2 linked regions of the Macaca mulatta genome follow. The protein of the gene in region 1 interacts with the protein of each later gene in a pairwise test. Links are inferred from orthologs where the notes say so. Each region holds a gene or a part of one and is shown on either strand. Other genes may lie near its edges.

Region 1 (7,149 bases):
TGTCTTAGCCAGGTTGGTCCGCACCTAGGGTTTTCAAGAGTCTTATCAGCCCCTACTTGCTGCAACTATGTCAACAGTTTCCTTTTGCTAGTCATGTGAAACTGCTGCCTGGAATTTCCTATTCTCCCGTAACCAGCCTGTGTTATTCCTGTCTCACATTTTTTTTTTTTTTTTTTTTTGAGATAGAGTCTCACCCTGTCGTTAGGCTGGAGTGCAGTTGCAGTGGTGTGATCTCAGCTCACTGCAACCTCCGACTCCTTGGTTCAAGCGATTCTCCTGCCTCAGCCTCCCGAGTAGCTGGGACTACAGGCACCTGCCACCACACCCGGCTAATTTTTGTATTTTTAGTTGAGACGGGGTTTCACCATGTTGGCCAGGATGGTCTCAATCTCTTGACCTCGTGATCCGCCCACCTCGGCCTCCCAAAGTGCTAGGATTACAGGTGTGAGCCACTGCGCCTGGCCTCCTGTCTTTTATTTTATTTGTACTTGTATTTTTATTTTTATGATGGAGTTTCGCTCCTGTTGCCCAGGGTAGGGTGCAAGTGCACGATCTTGGCTCACTGCAACCTCTGCCTCCCCGGTTCAATTCTCCTGCCTCAGCCTCCCGTGTAGCTGGGATTACAGGTGCCCGCCACCACGCCCGGTTAATTTTATATTTTTAGTAGAGATGGGGTTTCACCAAGTTGGTCAGGCTAGTCTCGAACTCCTGATCTCAGGTGATCCACCCGCCTTGGCCTCCCGAAGTGCTGGGATCACAGGCATGAGCCACCACGACCAGCTGTCTCACTCGTTTGCAATTTACAGGCAAGGAAACTGAGGAGCGGGGAGGTTAATGAACTGGGCTCAGTGTTACACAGGAAGGAAGGGACAGAGACGCCAGGTTCTGCCGTCTCCAATGCTCATATTAACCACTTGTTTTGCTTCTAACATCCCTGGGTGGAAAATTCCACAATCTCAAAGGATGGGCCTGAGTAGACAAAATAAGTTACAAAAGAGCATGGATCACATAGTCCCATTTCTTTTTTTTTTTTTTAAAGGCATACACATATGTCAGAGGCATTCCAACCACAGAGATTCCGTCTTGAATAGGAGCTTGGTAAAATAAGGCTGAGACCTACTGGGCTGCATTCCCAGGAGGTTAAGGCATTCTTAGTCACAGGATGAGATAGGAGGTTGGCACAAGATGCGGGTCACGAAGAGCTTGCTGATAAAACAGCATATGCACTAAAGAAGCCAGCCAAATCCCAGCAAAACCAAGATGGCGATGAGAGTGACCTCTAGCCATCCTCATGGCTCATTATACACTAATTATAATGCATTAGCATGCTAAAAGTCACACCCACCAACACGATGACAGCTTACAAATGCCATGGCAACATCATGAAGTTCCCCTATATGGTCTAAAAGGGGAAGGAACCCTCAGTTCTGAGAATTGCCTACCCCTTTCCTGGAAAACTCATGAATAATCTACCCCTTGTTTAGCATATAATCAAGAAATAACTGTAAGTATAATCACAATGAACAGCCCAAGCCGCTGCTCTACCTGGAGGAGCCATTCTTTTATTCCTTTATTTTTATTGTATTTTATTATTATTATTATTATTCTTTTATTTTTTGAGACAGTGTCTTGCTCTGTCACCCAGGCTGTACTGCAGTGGCATGATCTCGGCTCACTGCCAGCTCCGCCTCCCGGGTTCACGCCATTCTCCTGCCTCAGCCTCCCGGGACTACAGGCACTCGTGACCACGCCCGGCTAATTTTTTTTTTTTCCAACAGAGACGGGGTTTCACCGTGTTAGCCAGGATGGTCTCGATCTCCTGACCTTGTGATCCACCCGCCTCGGCCTCCCAAAGTGCTGGGATTACAGGTGTGAGCCACCGCGCCCGGCCAATTTTATTTTTGAGACTGAGTTTCGCTCTTGTTGCCCAGGCTAGAGTGCAGTGGCGCAATCTCGGCTCACCGCAACCTCCACCTCCACCTCCCGGTTCAAGCGATGCTCCTGCCTCAGCCTCTCCCGAGTAGCTGGGATTACAGGCGCTCGCCACCACGCCCGGCTAATTTTGTATTTTTAGTAGAGACGGGGTTTTTCTATGTTGGTCAGGCTGGTCTCAAACTCCCAACCTCAGGTGATCCGCCCACCTCGGCCTCCCAAAGTGCTGGGATTACAGGCGTTTGAGCCACTGTGCCCGGTCTGAGACTGAGCTTTTTTAATTCTTCCAATCACCAAGTTATTGAAACCATTTTTGCAAAAATCTTAACAATGAGAAAATTCTGACATCTCAAATCTGGCCGGGCACAGCGGCTCACGCCTGTAATCCCAACACTTTGGGAGACCGAGGCAGGTGGATCACCTGAGGTCAGGAGTTCAATACCAGCCTGGCAAACATGGTGAAACCCCATCTCTACTAAAAATAGAAAAATCAGCCGGCCGTGGTGGCGGGCGCCTGTAATCCCAGCTACAAGTGAGACTGAGGCAGGAGAATCGCTTGAACCCAGGAGGCGGAGATTGCAGTTAGCTGACATTGCGGCATTGCACTCCAGCCTGGGCAACAGAGCGAGACTCCATCTCAAAAAAAAAAAAAAAAAAAAAAAAGTAAAAATAAGCCGGGCGCCGTGGCTCACGCCTGTAATCCCAGCACTCTGGGGAACCGAGGCGGGTGGATTCGAGGTCAGGAGTTCGAAACCGGCCTCGCCAACGTGGTGAAACCCCGTCTCTACTAAAAATACAAGAAAACGAGCCGGGTGTGGTGGTACATGCCTGTAATCCCAGCTACTTGGGAGGCTGAGGCACGAGAATCTCTTGAACCCAGGAGGCGGAGGCTGCAGTGAGCTGAGATTGCACCATTGCATTCCAGCCTGGGGTGACAGAGTGAGACCTCTCCAAATAAATAAATAAGAATAAAATAAAACCAACAAGCAGCAGGAGTCCAAAATCAGAAAACAAAGCGCAAACGTGCCTTAAATCAGTCATGTGCGACAAGCAGCTATAGTTAGGGTTTGGCCGCTGGCTCAGAGAAGCGCATCAGTGAGCTAAAGCCACAAAGCGCGGGGCTGGAGGTTTGGCTCCCAGTTTCCCCTCTCATCCAAGAAGCGAGGAAATGGGTTCGGAACTCTTCTGCCAAGTCCCAGTAGATCTACCCGGTAAACTTCCGGTGTTTCCAACTTCCGTGCGGGGCAGCAGCTTCGGCTGGTCCTAAGCGGGCCGGAAGTTCGTCAACATTCACGCTCCGCCTCTTTTCCGGACGTGACGCAAGGGCGGGGTTGCCGGAAGAAGTGGCGAAGTTACTTTTGAGGGTATTCGAGTAGCGGCGGTGTGTCAGGGGCTAAAGAGGAGGACGAAGAGAAACGGAGCAAGGGGACCCAGGCAGGTGCACCCGAGAGTGGGGAGATGCGGGAGGAGCCCCGAACCCGGGGCTTCTCGGCGCTCCCCGCTTACTCCGCTCAGCCCCCCTCTCTCCTTCCATTTCCTCCCCTCCGTAACTCGCGCCTCCCGCGGCTGTTTCCAGGGCAACAGGAGTAGTTCACTCCGCGAGAGGCCGTCCACGAGACCCCCGCGCGCAGCCATGAGCCCCGCCCCCCGCTGGTGCTCGGAGAGGGGCGGGACCTGGAGCGAGGTGCGGGGGCGGAGCATGAATGAAGGAGGTGGGGGCGGGGCATAATGGGAGGCGATGGGGCGGGACCTGGAAGCGCGGTGCGGGGGCGGGGCATGAAGGGAGGAGGCGGGGCTGGGGGCGGGGCATGATGGGAGGAGATGTGGCGGGGCCTAGAGCGAGGTTGTAGGGGTGCAGCGGGAAGGGAGGAGGCGGGGTGGGGGCGGGGCATGATGGGAGGAGATGGGGCGGGACCTGGAGCGAGGTTTTAGGGATGAGGCTTGGAGGGAGGGATGCGTATGGGGCGGGGCAAGGTGTTGGGAGGCCCATGATGGGGGGCTGTAGGGGCTGAACCTGGAAGGTTGAAGGCGGAGCATAATAGAAGGAGGTGGGGTCAGAATGAGAAATTGGGATGCTTGGAGGAGAAGTGAGGCGGTCTTATGAAGAGGAGGTTGGGGGGAAACTACATGGGATGGAGACCGTGAAGGCAGAGCATGATTAAAGGAGAATGGGCCCTACCTAGAAAGAGCAGGTGGATTGGACCTGAGGGGGCGGGGCCTAGAGCAGGGGCGGGGCTTAAGACCAAGCTGAAGGCTGGGCTGGAACAGAAGGGGGCGGGTCCTGTTAGAAGGATGGGGAGGGTTTGTAGGCCAGCAGGAACCAGGGTTGTGGCTGAGAGTAGGGTCTCTGGAGAGATGGAAGTAAAAGTGGAAACCCGGTCAGGACCTGTAACTGACCTAACCCAACCCTTCTTAGCCCCACAAGGCTCTCAATCCCCTGTATTTTACAGGCTGCTCCGTGACCCCACCATGTCCTCTCCCACCACGAGTTCCCTGGATACCCCCCTGCTTGGTGAGTGACTCTCTTCCCCACTCAACCCTTATCACACACTAGCAGAAGCTCACTATTACCCCTCCCGGATTCCACCCTCTTCCAGGAAATGGCCCCCCTCAGCCTGGCGCCCCTTCTTCTTCACCCACTGTAAAGGAGGAGGGTCCAGAGCCGTGGCCCGGGGGTCCGGACCCTGATGTCCCAGGCACTGATGAGGCCGGCTCAGCCTGCAGCGTGGACTGGGGTGAGACAGGGCCCAGAGACAGGGCTCTGGAGTTGACATGGGGGCTTGGGGAGGGGTTTAGGAAGGGAAAAAGAAATGGAGATGGGAATGGGAGGCCCCTGATCTTTGCTTTTTGTTCTCGCTTTCTCCTTGATACATACATCTTTCTAAATTGCAATATCCCTGAATGTGAGCAGCACCTCCTCTCCATCCTCTGGCGCTTTGCCTGGGGATCTCCTGTGGCCACATCATTCTGGTTCCTGTTTCTCCCTGTGGCTCACTCATGGCCTCTGCCTACCCATCCCAGTCATCCCAGATCCTGAAGAGGAGCCAGAGCGCAAGCGAAAGAAGGGCCCAGCCCCGAAGATGCTGGGCCACGAGCTTTGCCGCGTCTGCGGGGACAAGGCCTCCGGCTTCCACTACAATGTGCTTAGCTGCGAAGGCTGCAAGGGCTTCTTCCGGCGCAGTGTGGTCCGTGGCGGGGCCCGGCGCTATGCCTGCCGGGGCGGTGGAACCTGCCAGATGGACGCTTTCATGCGGCGCAAGTGCCAGCAGTGCCGGCTGCGCAAGTGCAAGGAGGCAGGGATGAGGGAGCAGTGTGAGTGCAGTGGGAGGGGGCGGTGCCGGCCTGGCCCATTGGCCCAGCCCTGGGGTTCTGCTGAGGCCTGCATCCCCCTACAGGCGTCCTCTCTGAAGAACAGATCCGGAAGAAGAAGATTCGGAAGCAGCAGCAGCAGCAGTCACAGTCACAGTCGCAGTCGCCTGCGGGGCCGCAGGGCAGCAGCAGCTCAGCCTCTGGGCCTGGGGCATCCCCTGGTGGATCTGAGGCAGGCAGCCAGGGCTCCGGGGAAGGCGAGGGTGTCCAGTTAACAGCGGCTCAAGAACTAATGATCCAGCAGTTGGTGGCGGCCCAGCTGCAGTGCAACAAACGCTCCTTCTCCGACCAGCCCAAAGTCACGGTACTGCCCCCTCCACAACCTTGAGTGTGATGGTCCCAGTCGGGTAGAGCCGGCTGGGCCATTGCCCAGGGTGTGGAAGAATGAGGCTCCAGAGGGCAGGGGCTTTGGGAGGAGGGTCCCCCAGGGTGCAGGCTTGGCCTCAAGGTGGCCGCCCCAACTTACGCTCACAAAGACCTGGGAGTGACCCTGGTCTCCTGTGTCCCAGCCCTGGCCCCTGGGCGCAGACCCCCAGTCCCGAGATGCCCGCCAGCAGCGCTTCGCCCACTTCACGGAGCTGGCCATCATCTCAGTCCAGGAGATTGTGGACTTTGCCAAGCAAGTGCCTGGTTTCCTGCAGCTGGGCCGGGAGGACCAGATCGCCCTCCTGAAAGCGTCCACCATCGAGGTAATGGTCCGTCTGCCCACAAGAAACCCCAGAGATAGCTCCAGGACAGATGCTGGGAGCAGAGTTTAAGCAAGACCAGTCCTTGCCCTTGTAGGATGACATTCCATGGCAAATAGAGTCTTCTATGAGCCAAGAAGAAAAAGAAAAAAGGGTCTGAAGCTGAGAAAATTGAGGATCAGGCCAGAGAGGCTATTTTAGAGAAAAGTTGCCAAAAAGGCTTTTCAGAGGAGTTAGCGTTTGAATCAAAGTAGGGATAACATACAAGTATTGAGCGCCTACTGTATGCTAGGCTCTATACCAAGTGTTGGCATATGGCAAAGAACAAAGCAGATCAAACCCCCTGCTCCTATACCTTGTGCCCACCTGGGGAAGGAGTATCCTAAGGAGAAGGGGATGCAACGTGTGCGAAAGCCCAAAATGAAGAAGGAGCTTGGGCTGTCTCACGTGATGGCTGCACACTGGTGTGGCTGAGAGAACGGGGGACGAGGGATATTCCTGGTGAGATTAGAACCCCATTTGGGCCAGCAGGGGAGGGACTAGCAGCCGAAGGGTCACAGGGCTTGAGCCCCCTCCCACTGCCACCCTCAGATCATGCTGTTGGAGACAGCCAGGCGCTACAACCACGAGACAGAGTGTATCACCTTCCTGAAGGACTTCACCTATAGCAAGGACGACTTCCACCGTGCAGGTAGGGCCCAGGGGAGGCTTTGGGGAGGCTTGGCCCCCCTGCTAGCTGGAAGACCTGGGGCCAATTCATCCCTGTCAGAGTCTGTTTCTTTATCTCCAAAGCCGGGGTGAGGGTTGAGCCAAGGTGAGAGCAAGACAAGAGTGTGTATGTCATGCGTGGTGGTGTGTGCCTGTCGGCCCAGCTACTCAGGAGGCTGAGGAGGGAAGATGGCTTGAGGCTACAGTGAGCTGTGATTGTGCCACAGCACTCCAGCCTAGCGACAGAAGAGACCGTGTCTCTATTTTTTTCAAAAAAAGCATGTATTGGCCGAGCACGGTGACTCACGCCTGTAATCCCAGCACTTTGGGAGGCTGAGGTGGGCGGATCATGAGGTCAGGAGGTCGAGACCATCCTGGCTAACACAGTGAAACCCTGTCTCTACTAAAAATACAAAAAATTAGCCAGGCGTGGGGGCGGACACCTGTAGTCCCA
Region 2 (7,092 bases), on another chromosome or scaffold:
ATTAAAAATTTTGAAGTATATCATATAATAAAATACTGCCCAGCAATAAAAAAGAAGAAACTGTTGCTACGTGTAACAATATGAGTGGATTCAAAAATAATGATGCTAAGTGAAAGAAGTCAGACAAAGAGTACCTACTGTGGAATTATATTTATGTGCAATTCTAGAAAATGCAAACAAATCTCTAGTGATAGAAAGCAGATCAATGGAGGAGGGGTGAGGAAGAGGCAAAAGGAAGGAATTACAAAGGTACGTGTGGAAATTTGGGGAAGTGATGCATATCTTCATTTTCTTGGTTGCAATGATGGCTTCCTGAGCATATAACATGTATGCATATGTGTAAGAATATATCCAATTGAATATTTTACACATTTGTAGCTTTGTATATATTCAGTGATATCTATTTATTGCCTCTGCTTCTTTACCTTAGGTTTGGTCATGAAACCACTGGCTTTCATGTGGTCTGGGTTCTACCGGAATCAAGCTATGAACTTGCTATCAGTAAGACCTCCTAATTGCAAACCACATGGACCTTTACAAGTTATTTGACTTCTCTTGATCATTACCTTTTCTAGTCTCCACTGATTCACCTCCTTTTGAATCTCAACAAGCTCCATAGTATCTCAATGGTATCTTAACAAAGCTGTTACAAATAAATGACTTTGAAACAAAGGAGAGAAATGGCTCAGGAGCTAGGAGAATATGCAGGGTTGAGTTGCAAACAGTTGATTTTGTTTGTATTTTGGGCAGGGGATGAGGCTTGGACTGGAGAGAAAGGAGATAAGGATGTAAACACACGTGTAGGGCATACCACCCCCTATTTTTTATTCTCTAAATCCTTAACCCTGAGAATAAGTTCTTATTCTTGAGTATCAACAACATTATCTTAAGCTAAATTAATCAAGCCTCCACAGTGTTCTTCTCTCAACAGTGGTGTGGGCCTCCCTAGAAGTAATTTCTCCCAAATTCAATGATACCTTTTAAGTTCAGATTTTAATTGATATGAATCTGTGATACACTCTAAAATAATATTATTTTATTGAAAAGTGGACTGTAACTTTCCTTTTATCTAGGAAGGGTTCTAAGTTAGAAGATGTTTTGCACTTTTACCAAAGGCTCTGTCATGTAAGCACCCGAAGCAACTCTGAAAGCCTTGATATTTGTGTTTCCAGCATGTGTTTGTGTAATACAGAAAGAGAAGCAGTTGTCAAGTGAAATGATGTTGGTCTCCAAAATTATAGTTTGATCCCACAAACACATACACACAAAGGATTGTTTGCTTCACAGTTTTTGATATTTAATTCAATGCTGTTGGAACAGCACAAAACTAAGTGTCAGCTTAACAGAATCACTTGTCCTTTTAGCATTAAAGTAACATGTAACTTAATGCTTTAATTTCCCAACATGCCATTTTATTTAGAAAGATTCAGACTTTCATTTTATTTAGAAATAAAATGCCATTTTATTTAGAAAGATCCAGGAGCATTCATTCACGGAACTTTAAGATCTCAGTCCACTGCATAAAATCTTGATTTTGTAATAACAATTTCTGTATCTTGCATATTCATTCAACAGGTTTAACGCGATGAGCAAATTAATGTTCATCGTTTTTAACATGTTTCAACTTAATCAGAACCCACATTCTCAATTAACGTTAATTGAATGTACATAGGACTATACAAGGGTTAGCAAATAAGAGAGAAACTGTTGCTCATTTAACCACTGTCACTTTGGACCAAAAAAAAAAAAAAAAAAAAAAAAAAAAAACCATTTTAAAAATTGCGCTTAAAAGAGTCTCTAGAAGCTGGAAGCGTGGCTCTTTTTCAGTAAACTAGGGGAAAAGGTTTACCGTGTTCCCCCTTTGGGGAATTTTGAGTCGCCACACTCATGTCAAGACCGAACCTGGCTCACTGCGTCTGGGAGAGTACTTGAGGAAGGCTGATGTCCTAGAAAAACCAGCTGAGGGAAGGGGCTGAAGCCCATGAAACCAGTTCTCAGCTCCGCGCCGAGGGGTCGGGAGTGGGGGGCAGCTTTGCGACCCTCTAGCTGGAGACTTCCCGCAGCTGCCTCCGACTTGTTCTAAGTGCAGGAAAAATCGGTGCGCCCAGTTGCCTCTCTCCAAAAGCGCGCAGCTGTGCCCAGTGAGGATGCCGCGCTGGTCCTGGAGATGTCCCACCGCAAAGAGCATTCAGATGCTTCCTACTCCGGCGCCCAGTGGCTTGGTAAGTCCTGTTGGCAGGCGACAAGAATTGTCTGGGCTGCTCCTATCTCTGGCAGGACTAGACGGGGCGTGAAGGAAAGAAGAAAAGCAGGGATCGGGCACTGCCCGAGGAGAGACACTTGGGCTTTGGTGTTGTCCAGCGCGCTCGGAGCGCGCTGCCCCCTCGTGCGGTCCCGGGCCCCACTTCTTCCGGCAGTGCCTGGGGCGGGAGGGTTGGGGTGTGGGTGGCTCCCTAAGCCAACACTCGTGCGGCTGCGGTTTCAGCCCCCTCCCCCCGCCACTCGGGGGCGGGAAGTGGCGGGTAGGAGTCACCCAAACGTGATTGCCCGAGGCCCCTCCTGCTGCGGCGAGGAAGCTCCATAAAAGCCCGGTTGCGACCCGCTCTCTGCACCCCATCTGCTGGCTCTCACCCCTCGGAGACGCGCGCCCGACAGCAGAGAACTTGCCGCCCAGCCACGCCCGCGCGCCAGCCACCGTGAGTGCTACGACCCGTTTGTCTAGGGGTGGGAGCGAAGGGGCGCCCATGAACTTGCTAGAGGCGCAGCCTCCGGCTCTGTGGAGCTCTAGGGCGCCGGGAGGGTCGCACCCCGTTCCCCAGCCGGGACTATGCCGGCTCGGCGCCCCGACGCGGACCAGCCCTCTTGGCGGCTAAATTCCACTTGTCCCTCTGCTCCCCTCTGATTGTCCACCGCTCTTCTCCCGGGCCCTTCCCGCTGGGCGGTTCTTCTGAGTTACCTTTTGGCAGATATGGAGGGAGAACCCGGGACTCCTATCCCAAGGCAGCTGGCGGTCTCCCTGCGAGTCGCTGCCTTGAGGCCCAGAAAGAGATGCGCGGTAGGAAGGTTTCCCTGGCAGCGCCATCGAGTGAGGAATCCCTGGCGCTCTGGAGCCCCGCGCCCTGCCATCTGCCTGGATTCTTGGGCTCCAAATCTCTTGGGAGCAATTCTGGCCCAGGGAGCAATTCTTTTCCCCCTTCGCCACAGCAGTCATCACCCTGAGGTGATCTCTACCGTCAGCGTTGATCCCCTGAAGCTAGGCAGACCAAAAGTAACAGAGAAGAAAGTTTTCCTCCCAGACAAGAGTTTGGGCAAGAGGGGAGAAAAGTGATCCAGCAGGAGGAACTTCCAATTTGATTTTGAAAGTGTCTAAACTGGCGGGGCCCCCACCTTGCACCTCTCGCCGCGCGCTTCTTGTCCCCGAGACTTGGAACGAAGTTGCGCGAAGTTTTCAGGTGGAGCAGAGGGGCAGGTCCGGGCCAGACGGCACCCAGAGTCCGCAAGGTGGTGCTAGCCACGCCTGGGTTCTCTCTGCGGGACTGGGACGAGAGCGGATTGGGGGTCGCGGGTGGTAGCAGAAGGAGGAGCGCGGGAGGCAGAGGAGGGAGGTGCTGCGCGTGGGTCCTCTGAATCCCCAAGCCCGTCCGTTGAGCCTTCTGTGCCCGCAGATGCTAGGTAGCAAGCGACTGGGGCTGTCCGGACTGACCCTCGCCCTGTCCCTGCTCGTGTGCCTGGGTGCGCTGGCCGAGGCGTACCCTTCCAAACCGGACAACCCGGGCGAGGACGCGCCAGCGGAGGACATGGCCAGATACTACTCGGCGCTGCGACACTACATCAACCTCATCACCAGGCAGAGGTGGGTGGGCCCGCGGGACCGACTCCAGGAGCGCCAGTGCCTGCACACCAGGAGATCCTGGTTAGGGGAAGGGATCGTTTCTTTTCCTTCGCTCTATCCCAGGGCAGGACAGTATCAGGCTCTTAGTCAGCTCCAGGTAAATGTTTGTGCGGGGCACACTGCGCACAAAATGGATACCTTCCATTTTGTGCAACTATAGTCACAGAGTCGTGATCCCCAGATTCAGGTTCCCCAGGCTGGTAGGCTGGCAATCTCCTCTCACTCACCTCTTGTGGTTTGTTGTGGTTCTTACAGCAGTGGGGGCCTGTTCAGAAATCTCGAAAGTACCCAGTGAAAGGGGCAAGAATGCGCCAGAGAAATGCTGTAGGGAGAAAGGCTAGCAAGGTGTCTAGGAAAAACAGAACGACCACCAAAGAAAACCAAACCAAGGAGTAAACTGCAGGGTTGCCCCAGACATTGTTAGACTTTCCAGCCTGCCTAGGGCTAATTGAATGACAGTATTTAGAAAAAGACAAATAGAGCTATTTTCTTTTCTTCTGTACTGTGTTTTTTTGCAGTCTCAGTCTCATACTTGAAAATCCTAGTCCCAGTAATTAGAGATTTAGCCTGAAAACAGTTTATCTAAAATGCAGACTCTCCCTATTTTATAGCTGGTGAATTCTGAAAAGAAAGTGCCCACTTGGTATTTCATTAAGAAGAAACTTACATTGGTCCAGTAACTTTAGGATGAATCCACGGATTACATGGAATCTGAGAAGTTGTAAACTTTATTCTGGACATTCAGAAAGTCAAAATGAAATGCCACATTTTCACTCTCAACATTGACAATTAAGGGAAAAATCAAATCCAAACTATTTTACAAATTACATAGGACTTAAATTTCGTTTTCAAAATTAGTTGATCTTAGCTCTAAATCATTTAACATCTTATTTTAATTACTAAGATTAAATTATTTTAATCATTTGACCATATCTAAAGGATAAGCCCTTTAGAAGCATGAATGTTAGTTAACATGTTTAAATTATATGTTTAAAGTATTGTGGGGTTTATTTATTTATTTAGTCCATATTTTTACTGTTTACAAGTCAGGGAGTAGTTGGAAAGGATCCAAAAGGGGGAGAATCTGTACTTCTAAAATCAAGTTTGCTTTTTCCTGTTTCATCAAAAAGGTATTCAACATCCTAAAAAAACTTTTGAAAAAGCTCCAATTTATATAGAATCTGAAAAACATGAAAATGCCAGAATTAAATAGTATTGGTTTGTGATCCCTTGAAATCTGATCATTTTAATTAGCAAAAAGCAATAATATTTTATATTCCATACTTCCCAGAAAGTTAATTGATTCAAATTCTTGCTATGCTATGCTGTCATGCAGATCAAAGAGAACTTGTACAAACAAAAATATGTTAACTGTTTTTTCTAGAAAAACCTTTGTTAGTTATTTAGTTATAGCATGATATACAGTAGAACTCAGTTTTCCAAAGATGATTGCTCTAAAGCTTTACAATTTTACAAAGCTCTAGCATTTTAAAATATTTTCCTAGGCATTATCTCATTCAGTCTTTACCTCAAAGCTTTGAAGGGAGTATAATTATCTCCATTTCACAAATCATGAAGCTAAGGACATTTCATGAAAGCTATTTTTATAGGAATTATGGAATTGGGGGCCTCCTTTGAGTTTCTTTGGATGTTGTCACCACCATCAACAGGCGGTGTTATCTCCAACATGTTTGATGAGAAAAAAAAACATAAAGGAAAGGGACTTAGGTTTCATGGCAAGAGATTCAGCTTAGATGTGAATGAGCTGGTCTCTGAGGCAGAGTTTCCTGTCTCACCTTCATGTAAACTCCTTCTTAGAAACTAGCAGAGGCTCTTAACATACATCCATCTTCTCCTTCCCACCACAGACACCCACTCCTATGTGTGTTTCTGAAAATTACAGGGTCATTTGTGGATGTACTTTAATTTACTATAGATGTAATCTGATATCATTATCTTTCTTCTCCCCGCCCTGACCCCCGTTCCCCCTACACTCAATTTGTGCTTATATTCTTGTTGCTGTATATATACCCCTGGCTCATTGCTTCTGGAAGCTGCATTACTTATTCTAAAGTGTGGGTCTCCTACAATTTACTTATATGGCCCCCTAAATCAGTGGTTCTCACCTGAGGGTGATTTTATGCTCCCCAGGTGTGATTTGGCAGTATCTGGAGACATTTTTGGTTTTCACAACGGGAGGTGGGTGCTGCTGGTATCTAGATGTATAGATGCCAAGGAGGCTGCTAAATATCCTACCATGCCCAGGACAGCCCCCATTACAAAGACTAGCCAGTCCCGGAGAAACTCAGCCTTAGATTAGTGTTTCTCCTTTCTGGCTGCACATTAAAATAATCAGGGGAGCTTTTAAAGTACACTGATGCTGGGATCCACCCCTGACCAATTAAATCAGACCCTCTAGCATAGGGCCTGGGCTTTAGAGTGTGTTTTTAACACTCCCCAGGTGATTCTAATGTGCAGCCAGGTTTGAGAATCTTTAAGGACTCAATCTTTGAAAGTTACAGCATTGTAGAGAGGAAGGATGATCCAGAATTAATTAAAGAAGGAAGAAGAGTGAACAATGCTGAACTGGATGCAAGATTATGACTGTGCAAATCCTCCTATTTCAGATTTAGGTTCTTTACTGGTAAATTGGAGAAAACAGTTGGCAGTTCTTTTACTCACTGGAGCATGATGAAGATAAATGAGTTACAGTTGCCCTAGAGTTTTACGATTAGTAAAACCAATGGATGGACAGAATAAATAGTATAAGCAGATGCCTGTAGTCTAATATCTCAACTCCAGAAAATCTTCGAGGAAATCTTACACATGATGGGAGTGGGACAGGGACTTGTTTTGTTTTTGCTTCCCTTGAGTCTCAGCAAAAGAACAGTAATAGAAAATCTTTCCAAAAAATTGAGATATAATTTTGCTTGGCAATTAGAATATGTCCTCTGTCAGCTATGTTCAGCTGTTAGACCTATTAACCAATCCACACCAGGCTAATTTATTTCTAAACGAAGTGGCAACTGGTGTCCAACACCTTTTCTGAGAAAGGGAAAAATGGCCTCTTCAAAAGATGCAATTTGGTATAGACTTGTCTGACTCTTTTGTAGTGTCCTGGAGTGGGGAGCATATACTACCCTCGCAGATAAACGAAACCTTACCTGTGTGTATTGTCTCACCCATATCCTGCTATAGGA

What was found.
Region 2: the proteins of NR1H2 (region 1) and NPY interact in a two-hybrid assay, tested with the Homo sapiens proteins (3 studies listed by BioGRID and IntAct). The link is inferred for Macaca mulatta from reciprocal best matches to the Homo sapiens genes NR1H2 and NPY.

What each region holds. Positions count from the first base shown.
Region 1 is NC_133424.1:62,762,775-62,769,923, forward strand, and holds the start of NR1H2 (oxysterols receptor LXR-beta), read left to right. Parts: upstream 1-3,221; 5' UTR 3,222-3,366; exon of another isoform or gene 3,367-3,370; intron 3,371-3,508; 5' UTR 3,509-3,616; exon of another isoform or gene 3,617-3,635; coding exon of another isoform or gene 3,636-3,857; intron 3,858-4,382; coding exon of another isoform or gene 4,383-4,401; coding exon 4,402-4,444; intron 4,445-4,529; coding exon 4,530-4,667; intron 4,668-4,953; coding exon 4,954-5,244; intron 5,245-5,327; coding exon 5,328-5,605; intron 5,606-5,810; coding exon 5,811-5,990; intron 5,991-6,578; coding exon 6,579-6,678; coding exon of another isoform or gene 6,679-6,705; intron 6,706-7,149. UniProt on the Homo sapiens protein: Nuclear receptor that exhibits a ligand-dependent transcriptional activation activity. Binds preferentially to double-stranded oligonucleotide direct repeats having the consensus half-site sequence 5'-AGGTCA-3' and 4-nt spacing (DR-4).
Region 2 is NC_133408.1:104,094,922-104,102,013, reverse strand, and holds the start of NPY (pro-neuropeptide Y precursor), read left to right. Parts: upstream 1-2,686; 5' UTR 2,687-2,696; intron 2,697-3,665; coding exon 3,666-3,853; intron 3,854-7,092. UniProt on the Homo sapiens protein: NPY is implicated in the control of feeding and in secretion of gonadotrophin-release hormone.